Arabidopsis thaliana: one gene and its partners. The protein of the gene in region 1 binds, or shares a complex with, the protein of each later gene. Each region holds a gene or a part of one and is shown in the gene's direction. Other genes may lie near its edges.

The links.
Region 2: EIF3E (region 1) and TIF3B1 share a complex: the UniProt entries of both Arabidopsis thaliana proteins name them as parts of the eukaryotic translation initiation factor 3 (eIF-3) complex.
Region 3: EIF3E (region 1) and AT4G20980 share a complex: the UniProt entries of both Arabidopsis thaliana proteins name them as parts of the eukaryotic translation initiation factor 3 (eIF-3) complex.
Region 4: EIF3E (region 1) and EIF3A share a complex: the UniProt entries of both Arabidopsis thaliana proteins name them as parts of the eukaryotic translation initiation factor 3 (eIF-3) complex.

What each region holds. Positions count from the first base shown.
Region 1 is NC_003074.8:21,195,980-21,201,099, reverse strand, and holds EIF3E (eukaryotic translation initiation factor 3E), read left to right. Parts: upstream 1-1,780; 5' UTR 1,781-2,026; coding exon 2,027-2,246; intron 2,247-2,344; coding exon 2,345-2,499; intron 2,500-2,607; coding exon 2,608-2,835; intron 2,836-2,924; coding exon 2,925-3,046; intron 3,047-3,366; coding exon 3,367-3,586; intron 3,587-3,665; coding exon 3,666-3,808; intron 3,809-4,004; coding exon 4,005-4,142; intron 4,143-4,214; coding exon 4,215-4,314; 3' UTR 4,315-4,583; downstream 4,584-5,120. Other genes in the region: INO80 (DNA helicase INO80-like protein), read right to left, coding at 100-532, 654-1,032, 1,137-1,224, 1,429-1,488. UniProt on the Arabidopsis thaliana protein: Component of the eukaryotic translation initiation factor 3 (eIF-3) complex, which is involved in protein synthesis of a specialized repertoire of mRNAs and, together with other initiation factors, stimulates binding of mRNA and methionyl-tRNAi to the 40S ribosome.
Region 2 is NC_003076.8:9,780,480-9,786,810, reverse strand, and holds TIF3B1 (translation initiation factor 3B1), read left to right. Parts: upstream 1-1,522; 5' UTR 1,523-1,620; intron 1,621-1,635; exon of another isoform or gene 1,636-2,027; 5' UTR 2,028-2,051; coding exon 2,052-2,161; intron 2,162-2,411; coding exon 2,412-2,649; intron 2,650-2,746; coding exon 2,747-2,971; intron 2,972-3,244; coding exon 3,245-3,373; intron 3,374-3,548; coding exon 3,549-3,677; intron 3,678-3,764; coding exon 3,765-3,848; intron 3,849-3,919; coding exon 3,920-4,044; intron 4,045-4,150; coding exon 4,151-4,349; intron 4,350-4,455; coding exon 4,456-4,988; intron 4,989-5,074; coding exon 5,075-5,183; intron 5,184-5,268; coding exon 5,269-5,604; 3' UTR 5,605-5,801; downstream 5,802-6,331. Other genes in the region: AT5G27650 (Tudor/PWWP/MBT superfamily protein), read right to left, coding at 151-1,300; ACBP5 (acyl-CoA binding protein 5), read right to left, coding at 6,031-6,210. UniProt on the Arabidopsis thaliana protein: RNA-binding component of the eukaryotic translation initiation factor 3 (eIF-3) complex, which is involved in protein synthesis of a specialized repertoire of mRNAs and, together with other initiation factors, stimulates binding of mRNA and methionyl-tRNAi to the 40S ribosome.
Region 3 is NC_003075.7:11,215,267-11,220,174, forward strand, and holds AT4G20980 (Eukaryotic translation initiation factor 3 subunit 7 (eIF-3)), read left to right. Parts: upstream 1-1,614; 5' UTR 1,615-1,730; coding exon 1,731-3,506; 3' UTR 3,507-3,521; exon of another isoform or gene 3,522-3,802; 3' UTR 3,803-3,912; exon of another isoform or gene 3,913-4,114; intron 4,115-4,301; 3' UTR 4,302-4,372; downstream 4,373-4,908. Other genes in the region: AT4G20970 (basic helix-loop-helix (bHLH) DNA-binding superfamily protein), read left to right, coding at 1-124, 224-589, 872-946; ACA4 (alpha carbonic anhydrase 4), read left to right, coding at 4,506-4,596, 4,694-4,908. UniProt on the Arabidopsis thaliana protein: mRNA cap-binding component of the eukaryotic translation initiation factor 3 (eIF-3) complex, which is involved in protein synthesis of a specialized repertoire of mRNAs and, together with other initiation factors, stimulates binding of mRNA and methionyl-tRNAi to the 40S ribosome.
Region 4 is NC_003075.7:6,946,976-6,954,326, reverse strand, and holds EIF3A (eukaryotic translation initiation factor 3A), read left to right. Parts: upstream 1-1,847; 5' UTR 1,848-1,953; intron 1,954-2,216; 5' UTR 2,217-2,273; coding exon 2,274-2,319; intron 2,320-2,425; coding exon 2,426-2,907; intron 2,908-2,995; coding exon 2,996-3,211; intron 3,212-3,344; coding exon 3,345-3,713; intron 3,714-3,801; coding exon 3,802-3,831; intron 3,832-3,920; coding exon 3,921-4,148; intron 4,149-4,263; coding exon 4,264-4,425; intron 4,426-4,541; coding exon 4,542-4,763; intron 4,764-4,853; coding exon 4,854-5,060; intron 5,061-5,141; coding exon 5,142-5,348; intron 5,349-5,437; coding exon 5,438-5,518; intron 5,519-5,674; coding exon 5,675-5,876; intron 5,877-5,981; coding exon 5,982-6,493; 3' UTR 6,494-6,851; downstream 6,852-7,351. Other genes in the region: AT4G11430 (hydroxyproline-rich glycoprotein family protein), read right to left, coding at 85-714, 1,499-1,528; AT4G11410 (NAD(P)-binding Rossmann-fold superfamily protein), read left to right, coding at 7,141-7,246. UniProt on the Arabidopsis thaliana protein: RNA-binding component of the eukaryotic translation initiation factor 3 (eIF-3) complex, which is involved in protein synthesis of a specialized repertoire of mRNAs and, together with other initiation factors, stimulates binding of mRNA and methionyl-tRNAi to the 40S ribosome.

The sequences.
Region 1 (5,120 bases):
CAAAAAGATAATGTTGTTAATAAAGCCATGAATGAGCCATGAATGAGCCATGAAGGATTCAAAACTATGATTCATAAAATACTGCCACAGAATCCAAACCTCGTATGTATCCCCCTTCTCCAGAATCTTCACGTAATGGACCTGTAAAACACCACCCTCAGACAGAATTGTCCGTGCAGTACTTCCAGCAGATCCTTCTGGAATGGCAGAATTCATTGCAGCTTCTGACACCTTGAGGCTAAAATTTGGGGTGGAGTTTGAAGGTGACAGGGCCTTCATTCTAGCTTGAAGAGATTCATATTGAGGTCGAGGCTCACCCATTCCATTACGGCTTCTTACTCCAGACCTTTTATCACTTGCCATCAGTTCTGCTAATGATCTCAGATCCAGAGTTCCTTTCAAGTAAAATTCTTCCACATGAATGTCTGAAAAGCTCGGTAAGTTTAATGATGCCACCAGCTTGTCATAACTTGGGGGGATTTTGTAGATGACACCATCACCAATGTCCAAATACGAAGGTTCATATGCTATCCTGCAAATGATGCAAAATTCAACGTGTCAATCTAGGAAACCCAACACCGTAAGTTATCTAAGCGGATTACACAGGGTTACACGGATCCCATGGAACATGAAAAAACATATGATCAACATACTTGGGTGTAATATCACGATCATGGTAGCTTCCTCGCCTATGTGGGGTCACATCAGCTGCAAAATTTGGAGAGTTGTCCATGTCATAGAACCTCCCATGGTAATCATTCCCTGGTTTCCTACCTCTGTAACTGCCCACATTGCTCTTTAGCACCGGAAAACCCATCAGATGAGGAGGATTCCCTTGAGTCTCCTTGGACCTATTTTTGAATTTTTGTACATGCTCCCCAAGCATTGATCGGTAGTGCTCCTCAGTAACATGTTGATTGTAGAGATCATCATCGTCCTCTGCATCCTCAGCTTCTGTCCACCGCTTTCTCTTCTTGGAGCTCGCATTCATTCTCGATTTAGACCCATTGCTGTAGTTTGCCACTACCCCACCTTTAACCATTACCAACCATATAGACAGAACACAGATAAACGTCACTTAAAACTATCACAGTAGGTGGCAAAAGTAATTCCATAAAACCAATTAAAAACTGTACCTTGAGTGCTTCTACTTTCATCCTGGCTACTACTCCCATAATAATCAACTTCATCTTCAGGTTTCGGAATTCTAAACTTCATCAACGGCTGCAAGAATGAAGAATTTAGCCACAAAACCCACACTGAATTTCAACAGTAAAACAAAAACACACTGTAGAAACAAGGAGAAGCTATACAATTGCAAGATTTCCAATCACCAAAACTACATTCATCACAGTCACATGATCATCATCCAACAAGTACAAACCATCAATTTCAAGGAAATCACAAAAAAATTGAGACCTAACAGACCTCGAGATCGAATAGATTCGCGTAAGGAGAGTCCTTCGGTGGTCGTCTTGAAGGATCCATGAGAGACGGGAAGAGAATAACACGGCGTCAAAATTTTGGAGAGTCTTAATCCTTAAAAGCTTCTAGACAGAAACATTCGTCACGAGAAAGAAAAAGAGTTCGTCTCGAAGAAGAACCCTAATCCAGTATGATAGAGGAAGAGGGCGAAAGGTTAAAGACGAACATGCGCAAGTTAGTGGACACAGGCGGTACAGAAAGAAGTCCAGACTACTAACATACGCCAAACGAATAAAGCTTCTTACCGTGCGCCTCTCCACAAAAAACATTTAATTATTATTTTTTCTTAACCCCTCCGGTACCGGCCGATCAGATAACGACGGCTAAGTTATCGTTTTGGAGATAAAAATACCTTGTGGGGTAAACAACAATATATAAGAAGTAAAGGGGCGAATTTATAAATATTGAAAGCTCATATTCGAGAAAACCCTAATTTCAATATACAGGATTTTTTACCTCGTCGTCTCTGAAACTTCATCTCTGCCGTCTTAAGAAGATTTTGCCAGTGCGGGAAGCGGCGGAGATTGAGAGATTAGCGACGATGGAGGAAAGCAAACAGAACTATGACCTGACGCCACTAATAGCGCCTAACCTGGACAGACACTTGGTGTTTCCTATATTCGAGTTCCTTCAAGAGCGTCAGCTTTACCCTGATGAGCAGATCCTGAAGTCTAAAATCCAGCTTTTGAACCAGACGAACATGGTTGATTACGCCATGGATATTCACAAGAGTCTCTACCACACTGAAGACGCTCCTCAAGGTATTCTTGTGTATTCCTCTCTGGATATGTCTGTGAATTTGCGTTTTTGTGTACTGGTTTGTTTGTTTGATGATGAATGTTGAAATTTGTGGTGATAGAAATGGTGGAGAGAAGAACAGAGGTTGTCGCTAGGCTCAAATCTTTGGAGGAGGCTGCTGCACCACTCGTGTCTTTTCTTTTGAACCCTAACGCTGTGCAGGAGCTAAGAGCTGACAAGCAGTACAATCTCCAAATGCTCAAGGAACGCTACCAGGTTGTGATTTGGATGATTAAGTTGTTTAATTTTGTGAAATGTTATCCAGATTTGGTTTTGTTTGTGTATTGTGGAACACAAATCTTATATGGCTTGGTGTCTTATCAGATTGGTCCAGACCAGATTGAGGCTTTGTACCAGTACGCCAAGTTTCAGTTTGAATGTGGCAACTATTCTGGTGCTGCTGATTATCTTTACCAGTACAGGACCCTGTGCTCTAACCTTGAGAGGAGTTTGAGTGCCTTGTGGGGAAAGCTCGCATCTGAAATATTGATGCAAAACTGGGATATTGCTCTTGAAGAGCTTAACCGTCTCAAAGAGATTATTGACTCAAAGGTTAGTATTTAAAACTTCTTCTAGTTTGCGACCTTTGAAATCAATATAGATGTGAGAGTATATATGCTAACTACCATTTGTTTTTTCAGAGTTTTTCATCGCCGTTAAACCAGGTGCAGAACAGGATTTGGTTGATGCATTGGGGTCTGTATATCTTTTTTAACCATGATAATGGAAGGACACAGATCATTGATCTTTTTAACCAAGACAAGTAAGCCTCTACCTCTCTGTTATCTGCATCTCTTCTTTATACCTTTCATCACCATCTATTTCCTTGCGTTTTAAGATAAGCATGATCTAGATGCGATGAAGTTATGTATAGGTGGTGTTTGTGTGTAGAACTTTGTTTATAGTTAATGTTAGTCCTGATGTGCCTACAAGTAATTAGCAGTCACTAGTTTTAGAGTCTTCTCCTTCTTTTCATCCAGACCTATTCTTAAGATTGTGCTTTGTGTATGGGCATTTGCTGAAAAATAATTCACTTTGTTTTCATGCTGCAGTTCTGTATACTAATTTGATTTACTTTTTCAGGTATCTGAATGCCATCCAAACTAGTGCTCCACACTTGCTGCGCTACTTGGCAACTGCTTTCATTGTCAACAAAAGGAGAAGACCACAATTGAAAGAATTCATTAAGGTCATTCAGCAAGAGCACTACTCCTACAAAGATCCAATTATCGAGTTCCTGGCATGTGTGTTTGTCAATTATGACTTTGATGGGGCTCAAAAGAAGATGAAAGAGTGTGAAGAGGTAACTCATCCACATGTATAGATATTTTTGTTTGTGCAGAACTGTGCAATCAATACTCTGACATTTTAACATGATGTAGGTCATTGTGAATGATCCATTCCTTGGCAAGCGAGTTGAGGATGGAAACTTTTCAACTGTACCACTGAGAGATGAATTTCTTGAAAATGCCCGCCTATTCGTCTTTGAAACCTATTGCAAAATTCATCAAAGGATTGACATGGGGTAAGTTCTCACATTTGGTTGTATATGTTTACACATAACTCTGCTCTCCGGATTGCTCAATGTTTGGAATTTTCTCTATTCCTTATCTTTCCCAACACATGAAAATTGCCATATCCAGCTATTTAAGTTGAGAAGAATTGTTGCGGTCTTGTGGTTTAACTTTGTACTCATGTCGAGCCTATATTTCCCTTGTCAGGGTACTTGCTGAAAAATTGAATCTGAACTATGAGGAGGCCGAGAGATGGATTGTGAACCTAATCCGCACCTCAAAGCTTGATGCCAAGATTGATTCTGAGTCAGGAACTGTAATCATGGAGCCTACTCAGCCCAACGTGTAAGTAGAATAAGCTTAAATCTATGATATCATTCGTATTCTACAATCTAATCTTGTTTCCGCTTTATGCAGGCATGAGCAGTTGATAAACCACACCAAAGGCTTATCAGGACGAACATACAAGTTAGTGAATCAGCTCTTGGAACACACACAGGCGCAAGCAACTCGCTAGTCAAAATTTTGCTGTGGAAGCCTTTCCTTGATAAAACTCACCTTCGGTTGACTGGAATTATTTTCTTTTTCTTGCTCTGAGTTCACCTTTTACTTTGAAAAAGATTATTATGGAGTTGTTCTATTTGAAATGTTGGATCCACAGATTGGAACATTTTCCAACCAAATCAGCATTTTGTATCCACCCTAAGCATTTAAAGGTTTTTGCAAGCCAACGTAAATTACTGCCTTACATTGAGCATCTCTGATTTGCGTAATAGTAAGTACAATAATAGCATATAACAGAAGTAAGAAAAACAAAACTTAAGAGTTAAGACTATGACAGTGGAAAGAACAGGTCACAAACAAAACAAGTATATCAATTCGTAAATAGTATAAAGTTACTCCAGAAGTCCAACTCGCCAGAGTCATCAAAAGAGAGAAGATAAATTCAATTTCTTTGGAGGTGGGTGCCCTCCAGAGAGTACCACATAAGAATAGAAACACAACATGCAATGGAAATGGCATATAGTGTGTTTTGATCTTTCCAGTGGATCTTTTGAAGCGAGTATGAAAATACCATTTACCACTGATGGTCGAGTTACTATAAGCAACATGAAGGACCGTTTGTGTATATCAGAGGGGAAGGACATGAAACAAGAGATATGGTCATTAAACTCTCGCAAGAAATGGGAGAAGACGTATTCGATTGATTTGAATAGAACTTCCATTTGGTGTCGCCGCCATCCGAATTTGCCAACAAAAACAATCACAACATTTCAGAAAAATAAGATTTTGCTTCATAATTGGAAGATAACTGGCCGTACT
Region 2 (6,331 bases), on another chromosome or scaffold:
AATCATGAGCACAGAGGATCTAAAAGTAAAACCCTAAAACCAAGTTACAGTATCTAATATCTATGTAACACATATGAAAGCTGTTTCAAGTCTACAACGAAAAAACCCATATACAAACAATAACATGATTTTCTGAAAAGTGGCTAATACCTCGAGGCGGTGCTCTATTATGAGGTTCCAGCGTACTCACTGAACTGCGGGGTGATTTTGTCCCAAAGGCCTGTGCATAAGTTTCATCAAACTCCTCAAACACTGACTTGCGGAAAGCAAAAACCACTGCTTTCTTCTTCATAAACTTTAAACTGTCTGGATCACACTCTTGAGGTGCTAACGCCAATTGCTTCACAAACGAAATGGTTTCAGCGGGTAAAAACTTATCCCTAGAATTCTTAATCTGATCAACAGAGTAAACGGCTTGAAGCTCGTAATCAGGCACATCAACAGCAAAGTAATCTTCCACATTACTAGGCCTAAAGTTATAAGGATTCCGACATTTACAAGTCAAACCAAGAGCTGACCTTCTACTCGCCTCATCCTTGGCTTCCTCCACAGCTCTCACAAAATGCTTCGAAACCGTCTGCTGTGATTTCTCCTCTAAATTCGGTTCGAAAGGAATAAGCTCAGCAGGATCAAACCAACCATAACTACTATCACCGAAAAACGCAACAAGAACATGATCAATCCTCCTCATACGACGAACAGAAGGAGACGCAAAAGCTTCATTGAATATATGACCAGGCCACCAAGGATGAGACTTTACCTTTCCCCAAACCAAATCTCCAACTTCAAACCCATAACTCAATGCCCTCGAAACTCCAGAACCCATTTTCTCACTTGCAACATAATCATCAAACTCAGATAAAAGAGATTTATAATCCGAAACTCCTTTTTTCTCTTCCTTCAAACCCAAATCTAATTCCTTCTCATCAGCTTCAGAACCAAGCTCACTAGATTGATCATCAGAGCCATCTTCTTCTTCTTCTTCTTCTTTAACCTCAGAACTCTCATCATCCTTATCAATTAAAACATCCTCGCTTTTAATCTCATCTTCCTCCTCACTCCCTACGACACCATCTTTCTCCGATCTCTCACTTTCGAGAACCCTAGCGTCATTTGTAACCGCCGAATCTAGCTCCATAGGTGAAGAAGCTTCAACATCATCATCAATGGCTTCGTGAACATCCCCGCTCGAATCAACTACAGTATCATCTGGAGTTACCTTAGGATCCTGAATCGAATCCGTTTGTTGAACAATCACAGCATCCTCGTTCATCACCGGGATTAATTTAGTTTTGTACATTACAAATCGATAAGAACCCTAGCAACAACAACAACGATCCTCCGATGAGAGATTATCCGAATTTGGTTCTCGAGGACACCAAATGAAAGAGACGGATTATTGTTAAAAAAAAAAAAAAGCTAATCGAGAGAAAGACAATAAATTAGATCTACTGATTACTATTGAATTGGGCTTACCCGGCCCATATAAATATTTATAAGCCCGTTTAAGGAACCGACGTCGTATGATCCAAAAAGACCTGAAAACAATCGCTCCTTCTTCCTCACCTTCAAGCGCCGTCTTCTTCTTTGTTTTTTGCTCTCGGCTGATCTCTGTATTGGGTACGTTTCTTATCTCGATTTCAGTGTTCATTTGTTTTTTTTGTCTTTTCTTATGTAGCTATGAGACAGGATCCAGAACGATGCAATAGATATAAGAGAGCCTTCAGGAAAATTTTGCCATTTTTCTCCATTTCACCTGTTGTTGGGTTCTAGATTAAATAAAACTAGAGTATAGTTAATAATTTCTATAGGCATGGTTTTAGATTTACATTATAGTGGGAGTGATGATTCAAAGTTTTAGTCTTTGAACATTTGGCCATGGTAGTTTGTTGTTTTAATACTTGTTTAGGGTTAACAAAAAACCTACTTTTAGATCTAAAGACTCAGATTTTTCACATTTATTTATCGACTTAAAGTTGGAATGTGTTAAAGACTGATAGCTCTCTCTATATGGCTTTCTTTGGCAGATTTTTGATATAAGGTTTGAAATCATGGAGGTCGTTGATATTGATGCCCGAGCTGCTAAGTTAGGGATTGATTGGTCTCAGGTTAATTTTGATTCCATCCAACTTCCTCCTGGAGAAGACTTTGGGATCGAGAGGTGAGATTTTCCTTTAGATCTCTGGTTGTTCATATACGGTCACTTCTATTTCTAATCTTCTTGTGTTTATACGATGGGATGATTTTATTCTAGGTTTTGCTATTGTATGTATGAAAATTTTGTGTATTTCGAATTGGTTTATCTCTTTCCTTGATGGTGCAAAGCTTATTATATTTATACATTTTATCTATGAACGTATGAAAAATGGAACTGATTCGTTATACACTTTTTTTTTCTGTGATGGTTGTAGTGATGATGAAGCTGTTTACCAGGATGACCAGTCTGAATTCGACACTGGATTCGGTAACATTATCGTGGTCGATCACCTCCCTGTTGTTCCCAAGGAGAAGTTTGAGAAACTTGAAGGTGTTGTCAAGAAAATTTACAACCAGTTAGGTGTGATTAAGGAAAATGGACTGTGGATGCCTGTTGATCCCGATACCAAGATGACATTGGGCTACTGTTTTATTGAGTTCAACACTCCTCAGGTTATTTATCTACTTGATTAGCTTAATCTCTGTTTTGTTGGATTCTGAAGCAATAATGTCGGCGTCATATGTTTCAATACTTTATTTCTCTTGTTAGAAAGGAGCCCAAACTAGGTTGTTCTTAATGGTTGAGTATTTCCTAAGAGTTTCTCTCAATGTCTGGGGCTCTTTGCAGGAAGCACAAAACGCTAAGGAAAAGTCTCATGGCTACAAGTTGGACAAGTCTCACATCTTTGCTGTAAACATGTTCGATGATTTTGACAGGTTGATGAATGTGAAGGAGGAGTGGGAGCCTCCTCAGGCCAGGCCCTACGTCCCTGGGGTATGTGTAGTTTTCATCATGTTACTCCCTGTACCTTGAATAATTTTCTTTGAATAACTTCCATTGTGTCTGTGTAATCACTTCTTTATTTTGGTAATTCGCTGATTTATTTTGTGTTTGCCTGCTGCGTTAGGGTTAGGATCTTTTTACGTAATTGATGTATACTAACTAATAACTATAATTTCATAACTCTTGTTTCATGTATATATTTTAATTCATTGCAGCCTTTTGTGGTGCTAATTGTCGTTACTTATATGGTGTTTGTTTTTTCAGGAAAATTTGCAAAAATGGCTTACTGATGAAAAAGCCCGAGACCAGCTAGTCATTCGTTCTGGCCCTGATACTGAAGTTTTCTGGAATGATACTAGGCAGAAGGCGCCTGAACCTGTTCATAAGCGTCCTGTAAGTTACTTCCTGTGTGTATATCCCTTTTGTTTACTTGACTGTTTAGAGCAATGTATATGTTATGTTACCTTCATTTGAATTAATATCCCTTATTTGTTTACTTGACTGTTTAGAGCACTTTTATATGTTATGTTACCTTCATTTGAATTAATGATGTTCTCTTCCTATGCAGTATTGGACAGAGAGTTATGTGCAGTGGTCTCCTTTAGGTACATACCTTGTGACACTCCACAAGCAGGGGGCAGCTGTTTGGGGTGGTGCTGATACATTCACGCGTCTCATGCGTTATCAGCATTCTATGGTTTGAATTTCCTTTCAATTGCTACATATTACTTCCGTTTTTCCTCTGTTGGCCTGAAAATTGCATCTTTTGTTGATTATGTTTTAGGTAAAACTAGTTGATTTCTCGCCAGGTGAGAAATATCTTGTAACTTACCATAGCCAAGAACCAAGCAACCCGCGAGATGCAAGTGTGAGTGCATCTTTTCTTCTGTTCTTTTCAACTTTTACTATTTGTGACGCTGAATTCTGTCAAACTTTCAGAAAGTTGAGATTAAGGTTTTTGATGTGAGAACCGGGAGGATGATGAGAGATTTCAAGGGTAGTGCTGATGAGTTTTCAATTGGAGGACCTGGTGGTGTTGCTGGTGCCTCTTGGCCTGTTTTCAGGTAATTCTTTCAACTGCATGTCAATGTCCTAAAAATAAACAGCCAATATTATCATCTTCTCCACTATTATGGACATATGTTGATATCTTGTAAACTTTTTCTACAGATGGGCTGGTGGAAAAGATGATAAATACTTTGCCAAGCTTAGCAAAAACACTATCTCTGTCTATGAGACTGAGACTTTCAGCCTAATAGACAAGAAATCCATGAAGGTAGATAATGTTGTGGATATCTGCTGGTCTCCTACTGATTCCATCCTTTCATTGTTTGTTCCTGAACAAGGTGGTGGAAACCAACCTGCGAAGGTATGTTTCTATTATTTCTGATGTACATGAAAAGCTCTGAATCCTTAATTTGCTTCTGTTTCTCTGCCTGGTGTTTTGAAATTACATGTTGATATCCCTTCTTCAGGTTGCCCTAGTCCAAATCCCGAGCAAGGTGGAGCTGAGGCAGAAGAATCTCTTCAGTGTGAGCGACTGCAAGATGTACTGGCAGAGTAGTGGAGAGTATCTTGCTGTCAAGGTTGATCGATACACAAAAACTAAGAAGAGCACATACTCTGGATTTGAACTTTTCCGTATCAAAGAAAGGGATATTCCCATCGAGGTTCTTGAGCTGGACAACAAGAACGACAAGATCATTGCTTTTGCATGGGAGCCCAAGGGTCACAGGTTTGCTGTGATTCATGGTGACCAACCAAGACCAGATGTCAGTTTCTACTCAATGAAGACCGCACAAAACACTGGAAGGGTTTCAAAGCTCGCAACTTTGAAGGCCAAACAAGCTAATGCCCTCTTCTGGTCGCCCACAGGCAAGTACATAATTCTTGCTGGGTTAAAAGGTTTCAATGGCCAGCTTGAATTTTTCAACGTGGATGAGCTCGAGACAATGGCCACAGCTGAACACTTCATGGCCACGGATATCGAATGGGACCCGACTGGAAGGTCCTACTGTCTTAACTAAACCAGTCCTTTGGTTGTTTCTATTTGTTCCAATTGCTGATGTTGTTTGCACTTTTTTATTTTCAAAGGTACGTTGCAACCGCAGTGACATCAGTCCATGAGATGGAGAATGGGTTCACCATATGGTCTTTCAACGGGATTATGCTTTACCGGATATTGAAGGATCATTTCTTCCAGGTATGTAACAAGAAAAACTCGGTCTTAAACGAGCATCGTCCATTCCGATGTCTAATAAAATATTTGTGTATGGTTGGTTACACAGTTGGCTTGGCGTCCAAGACCTCCATCATTCTTGACTGCAGAGAAGGAAGAAGAGATAGCAAAGACCCTGAAGAAGTACAGCAAGAAGTATGAGGCAGAGGATCAGGACGTGTCGTTGCTGTTGAGTGAACAAGACAGAGAGAAGAGAAAGGCATTGAAGGAAGAATGGGAGAAATGGGTAATGCAGTGGAAGTCTCTGCATGAAGAGGAGAAACTCGTGAGGCAAAACCTTCGGGATGGTGAAGTAAGTGATGTGGAAGAAGATGAATATGAAGCCAAAGAAGTTGAGTTTGAGGATCTTATCGATGTCACTGAGGAAATCGTTCAAGAGTCGTAAGATACTCGGTCTCTTTTGTTGCCATCTCTTTGGATCCCTTAGACAATTTTAAATCGTGTTCGCTATACTTGGAAGATAATTTTTGGTTCCTTCATGATTGAAAATTTCGTTGTTAGTTGATGAAGTATGGTGCTTATCACATGTAATGGTACTAAATGGTAGAAAAATTACCAATACAATATAGCTTGTAGTGTAACATAATTACACACAAATCGGTAGAGCTTATATAGAAACTGAATCTTCAAATGGCAACTCATCAATCATACTGTAGTAGAAACAACTATAGACCTTATTTTCACTAGTAACAATGCGGAGACGCTAAAAATTGTCTATACTGTATTTCTCTCTTTTTCTTTCTTTCTAAAAGTAAATACTGATATTGGTAATGACAAAAAAGAGTTACCCGAAAAAAAGTTTCATGGGCACTCATGTTTTAGGCGGAGGAGTTCCAGCGAGCCAACCCCAGACGCCACCAGAGCTTTGTCGTTTGGCGTTCATGGTGGCGGCTTGTTCAGACGCAACGGCTCTTTGACGTTGGAGGAGTTCGAGTTCCTTTTGAAGTGTTTCCATTGTCTGAAGCTTTTGTCTTAGCTCTGCAACTTCAACCTGCGGGCACTTAGACCGAGTTTTGTTAGGATTTGGTCAACATCGGAGAGGAATGTTTCACCATCGAGATTCAAATATCAACCCAGACTTACTATAAAAGTGAAACAAAATGACTTTCTTA
Region 3 (4,908 bases), on another chromosome or scaffold:
GAGCCATTCAAACACAGGTCAATCAAGATCTGTAGATCGCAAAACGGTTGAGAAAAATAGAAGGATGCAAATGAAGTCTCTCTACTCAGAACTCATCTCTCTTCTTCCTCATCATTCTTCTACGGTTTCTTCCTCTTGGCCCTCTTATATGCTTATATAATCTAAGATTCCATGTATGGGTGATGATCTTAATATTCTAAACTCTTTTATTATTTCATGTTAGGAGCCTTTAACACTACCTGATCAGCTAGATGAAGCTGCAAACTACATCAAGAAGCTACAAGTGAACGTGGAGAAAAAGAGAGAAAGGAAAAGGAACCTCGTTGCGACTACAACTTTGGAGAAACTGAATTCCGTCGGATCTTCATCGGTTTCGTCGAGCGTCGATGTCTCCGTGCCAAGAAAGCTGCCAAAAATCGAGATTCAAGAAACTGGTTCCATTTTTCACATCTTTCTTGTGACAAGCTTGGAACACAAGTTTATGTTTTGTGAGATCATTCGTGTTCTCACCGAGGAATTAGGAGCTGAGATCACTCATGCTGGATACTCCATTGTTGATGATGCTGTCTTCCACACCCTTCACTGCAAGGTATAATTCGGAAAGTAAAACATTTTTTGCAATGGAATTTAAGAATCAAACTTTGCTACTACTACTATGTTAAAACTAGGTCTAATCCAGCTTGTATACACATTGGGAATGAGTTCAAAGTTAGGGAATGATATTTATACTTGTTGTTTTTATATTTAATAAAACTTGCACTCAAAAACGCTAAGAAGCTGCATGTTCCCATCTGATTGTTAAGTTTCTACTAGCTGATTCCTATTAATATCCATATGTTAGTAAACTAAATTTAATTTATATTTTATATAGGTGGAAGAACACGATTATGGAGCTAGGAGTCAAATTCCTGAAAGACTGGAGAAGATTGTGAACAGTGTTCACTAATATTGATTCCTTGTTCCTTTATTAAAAAAAAAAGTTCTATGTTTTTGTTCCTTTTCTTGAATTATTTTTGGTGTTAGCTAGATTCCTTTTCTTGAATTGTATCATGTGCTGTGAGAGTGATGTTTCATTTGTAAGCATAATATATACTTTTCTCTACTTAAAGCTGTGAAATATATTTTGTTTTTTGGTATCAACAAAGCTGTGAAATATATGAAACTTAGGATGATGATTTTCAAGAACGAAACCAAAAAAAAAAGTTTCTTAGAATTAATACATGAACGAGCGAAATAACTTCACCTTTTTTCAATGTGTTATACTTGCCCAAGCATTTGTAATCTAGTGATAGGAGAAACTTTGGTGATAGGTGAAACTCTCAGATCCGAGTTTGAATATCCCGTGGTATTAGTTAGAAAACATTTAAATTCGGGACAGATAGTGTTGTGGTCCTTCGGGAAAAGTTTACTTCGGAGCACTTTGGTGCGTTTCTATCGAAGCTGACCAGATCAGCAAATAGAGTTTATCAAAAAAAAATGTGTTATACTATTTCAAATTGATGAATTTGAATTCTAAATTTTTATTTTATTTTATTTTTTTCTCAAAGTCAGAAATGAAAAACATGATTTAAGACTTCAAGTGTTATATATGGGTTTTGAAGAATACTAAAGCCCATGAGCCCAAACATTAACAAAAATGTTTTTTTCTTGTACCTTCTCTCTTCAACGTAGACTAAAGAATTAGGGTTTCCGCTTTCCACACACACAGCTGCAACACTATCTTCTCAGAAATGGTAACCGAAGCTTTCGAATTCGTCGCCGTTCCTTTCAATTCCGATGGCTGGGGACCTCCAGACGCTTCCGACGTTTCCTCCTCCGCCTCTCCCACCAGCGTCGCCGCCGCTAATCTTCTCCCGAACGTTCCTTTCGCTTCCTTCTCCCGTTCCGATAAGCTCGGCCGTGTAGCTGATTGGACTCGCAATCTCTCTAATCCATCCGCTCGTCCTAACACCGGATCCAAATCAGATCCGTCTGCAGTTTTCGATTTCTCCGCTTTCGCAATCGACGAAGGCTTCGGTCTCGCTTCCTCCGGTGGTAATCCCGACGAAGACGCAGCTTTCCGTCTCGTCGACGGTAAACCTCCGCCGCGTCCTAAATTCGGACCTAAATGGCGTTTCAATCCTCACCACAATCGGAATCAGCTTCCTCAACGGCGAGATGAAGAAGTTGAAGCTAAGAAGCGTGATGCTGAGAAGGAACGAGCTCGTCGTGATCGTCTCTACAATAACAACCGTAACAACATCCATCACCAACGCCGTGAAGCTGCCGCTTTCAAATCATCCGTTGATATTCAGCCGGAGTGGAACATGCTTGAGCAGATCCCTTTCTCAACATTCTCGAAGCTCTCGTACACAGTTCAAGAACCAGAAGATCTTCTTCTCTGTGGTGGCCTTGAGTACTACAACCGCCTTTTCGATCGCATAACGCCGAAAAACGAACGCAGACTCGAGCGTTTCAAGAACAGGAACTTCTTCAAAGTCACTACTAGTGATGATCCTGTGATTAGGCGTTTAGCTAAGGAAGACAAAGCTACTGTTTTCGCTACTGATGCTATATTAGCTGCTCTTATGTGTGCTCCTAGATCTGTTTACTCTTGGGATATTGTTATTCAACGTGTTGGTAACAAACTGTTCTTTGACAAGAGAGATGGATCACAGCTTGATTTGTTGTCTGTGCATGAGACATCTCAAGAGCCATTGCCTGAGTCTAAAGATGATATCAATTCTGCTCATTCTCTAGGTGTGGAAGCTGCTTACATCAATCAGAACTTTTCGCAGCAGGTTTTGGTTAGAGATGGAAAGAAGGAAACTTTTGATGAAGCCAATCCATTTGCTAATGAAGGTGAAGAGATTGCTTCTGTTGCTTATAGGTATAGAAGGTGGAAGCTTGATGATAATATGCATCTTGTTGCGAGGTGTGAGTTACAGAGTGTTGCTGATCTCAACAACCAAAGGTCGTTTCTTACTTTGAATGCTCTTAACGAGTTTGATCCTAAGTACTCTGGTGTTGATTGGAGACAGAAGCTTGAAACTCAGAGAGGTGCGGTTTTAGCTACAGAATTGAAGAACAATGGAAATAAGTTGGCTAAATGGACTGCACAAGCTTTATTGGCTAATGCTGATATGATGAAGATTGGTTTTGTCTCTAGGGTTCATCCTCGTGATCATTTCAACCATGTTATATTATCTGTTTTGGGGTATAAGCCGAAGGATTTCGCTGGACAGATTAATCTCAACACTTCTAACATGTGGGGGATTGTGAAATCCATAGTTGATCTGTGTATGAAACTAAGCGAAGGGAAGTATGTTCTTGTGAAGGATCCATCGAAGCCTCAAGTGAGGATTTATGAGGTTCCACCTGATGCTTTCGAGAATGATTACGTTGAGGAACCGTTGCCTGAAGATGAACAGGTTCAGCCAACTGAGGAAAACACAGAGGGAGCAGAAGCAAGTGTAGCTGCAACTAAAGAAACCGAGGAGAAGAAAGCTGATGATGCTCAAGCTTGATGGTTATAAAGTCAGGTAGTTCATACAAACAACTCTCAAATTCAAAAGGCGGTTACCATAATATGCTTGTTGGATTTGATTGAACACTTGTTTAGGATCGTGAATTTATACTTAGAACCCAAGAAAATGCAGAAAGTTGGTTCTTACTTCTTAGCCATAGAATCTTGTTCTTATTCATCTGAATTTCATTCTTATAGTTTAGAAACTGGTGACTTAGATTAATTGATGATCTTTATTATAAGTATAAACGTCGTATGAAGCATCGTCATTCACAATTTGGATACTATATTCTTCAGGTCCAAAGTCTACACCTTTCGTTTCTGGGTTCTTTTGAGAGTTGAAGCTTCAATCAAACAACAACAATGGAGGTTCCTTTTTTAATTATCTTGTCCTTTTTCAAATTTTTGTGGTACTGCTGTAATTTTAAGTCAGAAATGAGATTGTAGAACACTATCTTCGTGACATCTTTTGGAAAATCATTACGGATTGTTTACAGAACAGAAATCTTTTTACTATGACTCTTATAGCCACCAAATTTTCTTGAATCATTTTGCATTAGTTTTATAAAATTTGGTATTTTATGGTTCCAACTTTTGTTTGTTTCGGTCGTTTGGCGTATTCTCTTATGAGCTTGATCCTATTGTCCTGGTCGGTTTTTATCTCTGTTAAACTGACATAGATCCTATTGTCCTGGTCGGTTTTAATCTCTGTTAAACCGACATACTTCACATATATTTATTATTATAAACCCCAAATTAGAAAACTCAACCAAAATGGTTTTTACTAAGCATTCAGTTTTTTTTTTTTTTTTTTCATGTTTCCAATAGTAACATCAGATTATTAACTAATAATCGTAGCAACGGCAAAAACCATATCAGAACAGCAGAACAAACATCCCCCAAAAGCCTCCTCTTAAATAGGTTGTCTCTAAACCCTTCAATCTCCAAAACATAATAACATACTCCATTAAGCAAAATCTAATCTCGAAAGAAGAGAAACATGGATACCAACGCAAAAACAATTTTCTTCATGGCTATGTGTTTCATCTATCTATCTTTCCCTAATATTTCACACGCTCATTCTGAAGTCGGTATGATTACTACATCTCTATTGCATTCTAGTAAAATTAATCTTTTGTATCAAAATTCAGATTTAATGATTTGTTATTAACTTTAATCTGAAAACAGACGACGAAACTCCATTTACTTACGAACAAAAAACGGAAAAGGGACCAGAGGGATGGGGCAAAATAAATCCGCACTGGAAAGTTTGTAACACCGGAAGATATCAATCCCCGATCGATCTTACTAACGAAAGAGTCAGTCTTATTCATGATCAAGCATGGACAAGACAATATAAACCAGCTCCGGCTGTAATTACAAACAGAGGCCATGACATTATG
Region 4 (7,351 bases), on another chromosome or scaffold:
TGTTTTTGATAATTTATTTAAGAAACTAACACTATAATATACAAAATGTAGAAACTAACACTAGAGGGTAGTAAACTTACTAAATTAGTCTTTTTGATTGGAGATGGTAGTGGTGGTGATGGTTGTGGCCGGCGGTGGTGGATGGAGTTGATGGTGGTCGGAAGTGTTGGTGATCGGTGTGGTGGTTGCCGGCGGTGGTGGTGGTGGCCGGTGGTGGTGGTGGCCGGTGGTGGTGGTGGTGACCGGCGGGGTGATGGTCGGCGGTGGTGGTGGTGGTGGTGGTGGTGGTGGTGGTGACCGGCGGTGGTGGTGGTGGCCGGCGGTGGTGGTGGTGACCGGCGGGGTGATGGTCGGCGGTGGTGGTGGTGGTGGTGGTGGTGGTGGTGGTGACCGGCGGTGGTGGTGGTGGCCGGTGGTGGTGATGGCCGACAGTGGTGGTGGCGGTGGTGGTGGTGGCCGAAGTTGGTGGTGGCCGGAGTTGGTGGTGGCCGGATTTGATGGTGGCCGACAGTGACGGTGACCGGTGTTGGTGGTGACCGGAATAGATGGTGGCCGAAGTTGGCGGTGATGGCCGGCGGTGGTGGCAGGCAGTGGTGGCCGGCGGTGGTGGCAGGCAGTGATGGCCGGCGGTGGTGACCGGTGGTGGTGACCGGTGGTGGCCGGCGGTGGTGACCGGCGGTGGTGGCCGGCGGTGGTGGCCAGCGGTGGTGGTTGCTACTGAAGGTATTGAGGCAACAAGGGCAAATTGAGTAATATTACATATAATACAGAGAATATTATAATTACATAGTTAGGATGGTTAGTTAGTGAATTATAGTTTTTTTGTTAGTTATTTCTGCAAATTTCCCAAAAAAATATATCAATTTCCACTAATTTTTTTTATGTACATGTTGGATTCTAGAAAATCAATGAATTTAACAAAACAAATTCATGATCATCGCACAAATTGGCTAAAATATTGTTGATTTTGGAATTGGATGGAAGGTTAATTGTAGATTATAACGGAATTTAAATTGTTTGAATCTTGGAGTAACTCAAAAATATAGATCAAAATGATTACATATGGCTATGTTCTATTGCAAATCGTGAGCGACAGTTCCGACAAAAAAAATACGTCGATAGTAAAATAATTCAAAAATAATCTGTTATATTAATTTTCCATCACATATTTCCAATGCCTTGCTTAAATATATATTTTGAACTGTATAATGTTCTTATACTCTTGTTACTTACCTAGTATAATTAAGAAAAAAACAGTTAAAAGTAAGCTAACAATCCCTATTTGTAATAGAAAAAATCATATTCAAATTTTCAATTTTTTTATATAAATGCAATAATCATAATTAATTTTTTTTATATGAATTTATAATTGCCCAATTATAAATATTAAAGCGGGTTAACACAATTATACTTTAAAAAAAATTTAATTGAATAACATCAGATTCTATATTACACTTTAAGTCATTAAAACTCTTTTGAAATCATAAACCAATAACACCCTTTTACAGTTGAATTTTTTACCTTTCATGATTTTATGTAAATCAATTGTTTTTTTGAAATGAATTTTTGTAGTGGCATTTTATGTAATATTTAATATGTTGTTGGCTATTTACTTAAATGTATGTTTAGTTAATAATATAGAAATATCAAAGTTAATTGCTAAAAATATTATTAAACAAAATATAGAGAGTATATTGTAAATGATAATTCGAAAATGAAATCCATAAATTTTGTTGATCTCAATTGAATCACATCCCAGTATTAGACAAATTGGGTTTTATAAACACTAAGAAGATAAAACGGGGTCATTTCGAAACCGTAAGAAAATAGGATGATTTCTGCAAATATGGGTAATATATATGTAGAACGATAATATTAATACCAGAAACCCTAGAGTTGCTTCCGCTTCGCTTCTCGTCTCTCTTATCAGTCTTCTCTTTTCACGGCTACAAGGTTAGTCCTAAGTTTCGGCTCTGTTCTTGCATCAGTGATTGGATCTCTACTGCCTTTTAATCAAATCTCATTGAATTGATCTGGGTTAGGGTTTGGGTCAGGTTATCGAATCTTTCTGTGTTATTTTGATTCTATGAAATGAATTTAGGGTTTGGGCAAGTTTTTTCTGGTCTATGTAGCTTCCATCCTTTTCTGAGATATCTGATTGGGTTTTTCGGATTCTGGTGATCTCTGTAACAAAATCGCTTCTCTGTGTTTTTCAGGCTAATTGAGAGTGTCCCTTGCGTTAGAGTTTGTTACTAGCTTTTTTCGTCTGAAACATGGCGAATTTTGCCAAACCAGAGAACGCGTTGAAGCGTGCTGATGGTAAGTTACGAAATGTTTTCGTTTTAACATCCATTTGGTCAAATGGATGTGGTTAGGGTGTGTATGAATTGAGATTGTGTTAAACACTTTTTTTTTGTGTGTGTAGAATTGATCAATGTTGGACAGAAACAAGATGCTCTTCAGGCGCTTCATGATCTCATTACTTCCAAGAGATACAGAGCTTGGCAGAAACCGCTTGAGAAGATCATGTTTAAGTATCTTGATCTTTGTGTTGACTTGAAGAGGGGTCGATTCGCTAAGGATGGATTGATTCAGTATCGTATTGTTTGCCAGCAAGTGAATGTCAGTTCCTTGGAGGAAGTTATCAAGCACTTCCTACATCTTGCTACTGACAAAGCTGAGCAAGCTCGGTCTCAGGCGGATGCCCTTGAGGAGGCTCTTGATGTTGATGACCTTGAAGCTGATAGGAAGCCTGAGGATTTACAGCTAAGTATTGTCAGTGGGGAGAAGGGAAAAGATAGGTCTGACCGTGAGTTGGTCACCCCATGGTTTAAGTTTCTGTGGGAGACATACAGGACAGTCCTTGAGATATTGCGAAACAACTCAAAGTTGGAAGCACTTTATGCGGTTTGTTTTCTTCTAGGTTAAGCTTATTGGTGATACCTCTGATTTTAAGTTGATTGAGATTGAAGACTTGTACTTTATAATCTTGTAGATGACAGCACATAAAGCCTTCCAGTTCTGTAAGCAGTACAAGCGAACAACAGAGTTCCGTAGGCTTTGTGAAATTATAAGAAATCATTTGGCAAACCTGAACAAGTACAGAGACCAAAGGGACCGACCTGACTTATCAGCCCCTGAGAGCTTGCAGCTGTATCTGGACACAAGGTTTGATCAGTTGAAAGTTGCTACTGAGCTTGGACTTTGGCAGGTGCGTTTTTGTTTTCTATGTGTATTTTTCTGATGCTACCTTCTCTATTCCATATTTAGTTTGGCTGTATATAGCTTATCCTCTGTATAATTACTGGAAATAAGTTAGTATGGTTCGTGATGTATCTTTGCAGGAAGCTTTTCGCTCTGTTGAAGATATCTATGGATTAATGTGCATGGTCAAAAAAACGCCCAAGTCATCTTTATTGATGGTTTATTATTCCAAATTGACTGAGATCTTCTGGATTTCTTCTAGCCATCTTTATCATGCTTATGCATGGTTTAAGCTGTTTAGTCTGCAGAAAAATTTCAACAAGAATTTAAGCCAAAAGGATTTGCAGCTAATAGCGTCATCTGTTGTCTTGGCGGCATTGTCCATTCCACCATTTGATCGGGCTCAGAGCGCATCCCATATGGAACTTGAAAATGAGAAAGAACGCAATTTGAGGATGGCTAACCTCATTGGATTCAATCTTGAACCTAAATTTGAGGGCAAAGATATGGTAACATAGGTTCTTATGTTGCTTCATTTTTATTTTGCGCCCTTTCTTTCTGGTTTAGTATTCTAATTCCATTTCCTTCCTGTTTCAGCTTTCCCGGTCAGCTCTTCTGTCAGAGCTGGTGAGTCTCTAGCTGTTACCCTGTCTGTGGTTTAGAATATTTGTCGACTTACAAATATCTGATTTGGAGGCTGATTTTTATGCAATTAGGTTTCAAAAGGTGTTTTGAGCTGTGCATCTCAGGAGGTCAAAGATCTTTTCCATGTTTTGGAGCATGAATTTCACCCACTTGATCTTGGCTCCAAGATTCAGCCTTTGCTGGAAAAGATTTCCAAATCTGGTGGGAAACTGTCCTCAGCTCCTTCTTTACCAGAAGTGCAACTTTCCCAATATGTTCCTTCTCTGGAGAAGCTTGCTACTCTGAGGCTACTTCAACAGGTAAGCCTTGTTCTCTATGTTGTAGGTCAATACCCATTCAACCATTTTGGATTTTTCTGGTGGTTTATCCCTTTTTCTGCATACTAAATGTTCTATGTTCCGATTTTATTTTCAGGTGTCTAAGATTTATCAGACAATAAGAATTGAGAGTTTATCTCAGTTGGTACCCTTCTTTCAATTCTCAGAGGTAGAGAAGATTTCTGTTGATGCTGTGAAGAACAATTTTGTTGCCATGAAAGTTGATCACATGAAGGGTGTTGTAATTTTTGGAAATTTGGTAAGCCTCTGTTAAAGCTTCAGCTCAACACTGATTATATCATATGTAGTTGAGTAATATAATTTTTAACTTATTGACTAAATACTAATCTATTTGATCAACTGTTTGTATATTAGGGTATTGAGTCTGATGGACTGAGGGATCATCTGGCTGTTTTTGCCGAGTCTTTGAGCAAAGTAAGAGCTATGCTGTATCCTGTCCCAAGTAAAGCATCAAAACTAGCTGGCGTTATACCAAATTTAGCAGATACTGTTGAGAAAGAGCACAAAAGACTGCTTGCTCGTAAATCAATCATTGAAAAGAGGAAGGAGGATCAAGAGCGTCAGCAACTAGAAATGGTAGTTACTTTTCCATGGTTATTTGCACAGCTCTCCTTTTACGCTGTACCTGTTTATGAAAATTCCTTTATTTGATGTTTACTTTTGAAGGAACGTGAAGAGGAGCAGAAACGGCTTAAGCTTCAGAAGCTAACTGAAGAGGCAGAACAAAAGAGACTTGCAGCAGAGCTTGCAGAGAGAAGAAAACAAAGAATCCTTAGAGAGATAGAGGAGAAGGAGCTTGAAGAAGCCCAAGCTTTACTGGAAGAGACAGAGAAGCGCATGAAAAAGGGAAAGAAGAAGCCACTTTTAGACGGAGTAAGTTTACCAATATGTTAGCTATTATATAGTTCACTGATTAACTTATTACTAATGTCGGTTGGGTTAAACTAAATATAGGAGAAGGTGACAAAGCAATCTGTGAAGGAAAGGGCCTTAACTGAGCAGCTCAAGGAAAGGCAAGAAATGGAGAAGAAGCTTCAAAAGCTTGCCAAAACGATGGATTATTTGGAAAGAGCAAAGAGAGAAGAGGCTGCTCCATTGATTGAAGCTGCATATCAGCGAAGACTGGTAGAGGAAAGAGAGTTTTATGAGCGTGAACAACAGGTACTTACTGTTTCAGTAGTTTTTCTTTTCTTACAACTTGGTTCTGTGTTGGAAGTATATGAGGTCTTAAAAGCTCTTCTCCTATGCAGCGTGAAGTTGAACTCAGTAAAGAGCGTCATGAGAGTGACTTGAAGGAGAAGAACAGGTTGTCCAGAATGTTGGGTAATAAGGTCAGTCTTTGACATGTCATGTTGTTTCTCTTAATGTTCATCTTTGATCTGAATCTCTTTTCGTTATTGAATTAATTTTAAAGCTCTCTAGTTTCTTACATTTTTCCTGTAACTTTTCCTTCCAATGTACTTATAATCGAATCTTTCTGTGCCCAGGAAATATTCCAAGCACAAGTGATTAGTCGTCGACAAGCAGAGTTTGACAGAATCAGGACGGAGAGAGAGGAGCGTATCAGTAAAATAATCCGAGAGAAGAAGCAAGAAAGGGATATCAAGAGGAAGCAGATATATTATTTGAAAATTGAAGAAGAAAGGATTAGGAAGCTGCAGGAAGAAGAGGAAGCTCGCAAGCAGGAAGGTGTGGACTTGCTTCCATAAATCCACATCATTTTGACTTTGATATTGAAGTTTTTCTTAATAACCCCTTGTTTCTGTTTATTTTTTGGGTTTTCCTCTAATGTAGAAGCTGAGAGGCTCAAGAAGGTAGAAGCTGAACGCAAAGCAAACTTGGATAAAGCTTTTGAGAAGCAAAGGCAGAGAGAGATAGAGCTGGAAGAGAAAAGTAGGCGGGAACGAGAAGAGCTGTTGAGAGGAACTAATGCACCACCTGCTCGCCTTGCAGAGCCTACTGTTACTCCTGTTGGAACTACCGCACCAGCAGCAGCAGCAGCAGCAGCAGGAGCACCAGCAGCACCTTATGTTCCGAAGTGGAAGCGCCAGACTACTGAGGTCTCAGGCCCATCAGCACCAACATCATCAGAAACTGACCGACGGTCCAACCGTGGGCCGCCTCCCGGAGATGACCACTGGGGAAGCAACAGAGGAGCCGCTCAGAATACTGACCGGTGGACTAGTAATAGGGAAAGATCTGGACCTCCAGCTGAAGGAGGAGACCGTTGGGGTTCTGGTCCTAGAGGCAGTGATGATCGCCGATCCACATTTGGAAGCTCCAGGCCCAGGCCAACACAGCGTTGAGTAATAATAATTTTTTTGGTCTCAATCTCCATGGGAATGAATGAAAAAGGTTATCTCTGGATTTTCAACATCACAGCACTCTTCTTTAGCCCAAACCTGTCTCTTCTTCTTTTGAAGATTGCTCATCTTTTATAAGTTTTTATGAAAGATTTTAAAACATGTTAGACTCGTTTTTTGCTCTACACACCCAGAGAGAGTTGTTATTTCCTTCTTCGGTTGGATCTTTCTTTGTTTGTCCAATTTATTTCCAACTTTCTGCTGTAAAAACCTTTGACATTGATCAGCTTCTCTTTCAAGCAAACTTTTTGTTAATTGCTTATTATTAGTTTATGAAGAACAATAAACGAATACCAAATTTCACATTTAACAACATTTGTATCAAAAATGTAAATAGTGTATACAAACATCTTTATTCTTATCTCTGGATTAAGGAAGAAAACAAATGAAACTGTAATTAATACTTTTATACGAGATTCTTCAGTGCCTTGTTTTGAGAACAGAGCATGGGCACATTGCAAAAGCTCTCGGAAAAAGAAATTTTATAATTGGTCAACTTTACTAGGGTGTGTGTTTGATCATCAGCTAGCGTTGGTTTGGTTGAGATTAGACTTTAATTTTGTGGTACAGAAGATAGAAACAAAACAAACATGTGGCCTTTTTGGTGGAAAGGAGCATCTGGGTTCTCTGCTCGTTCCACAGCTGAAGAAGTCACTCATGGAATCGATGGTACTGGTCTCACTGCTATCGTCACAGGTCCTCTTCTTCTTCTTCTTCTTCTTCTTCTTCTTCTTCTTCGTGCAGATGTTTTCAACTTTTTTATGATCTATGTTCAGTCTATAGTTTAATTTCTTGGTTTTG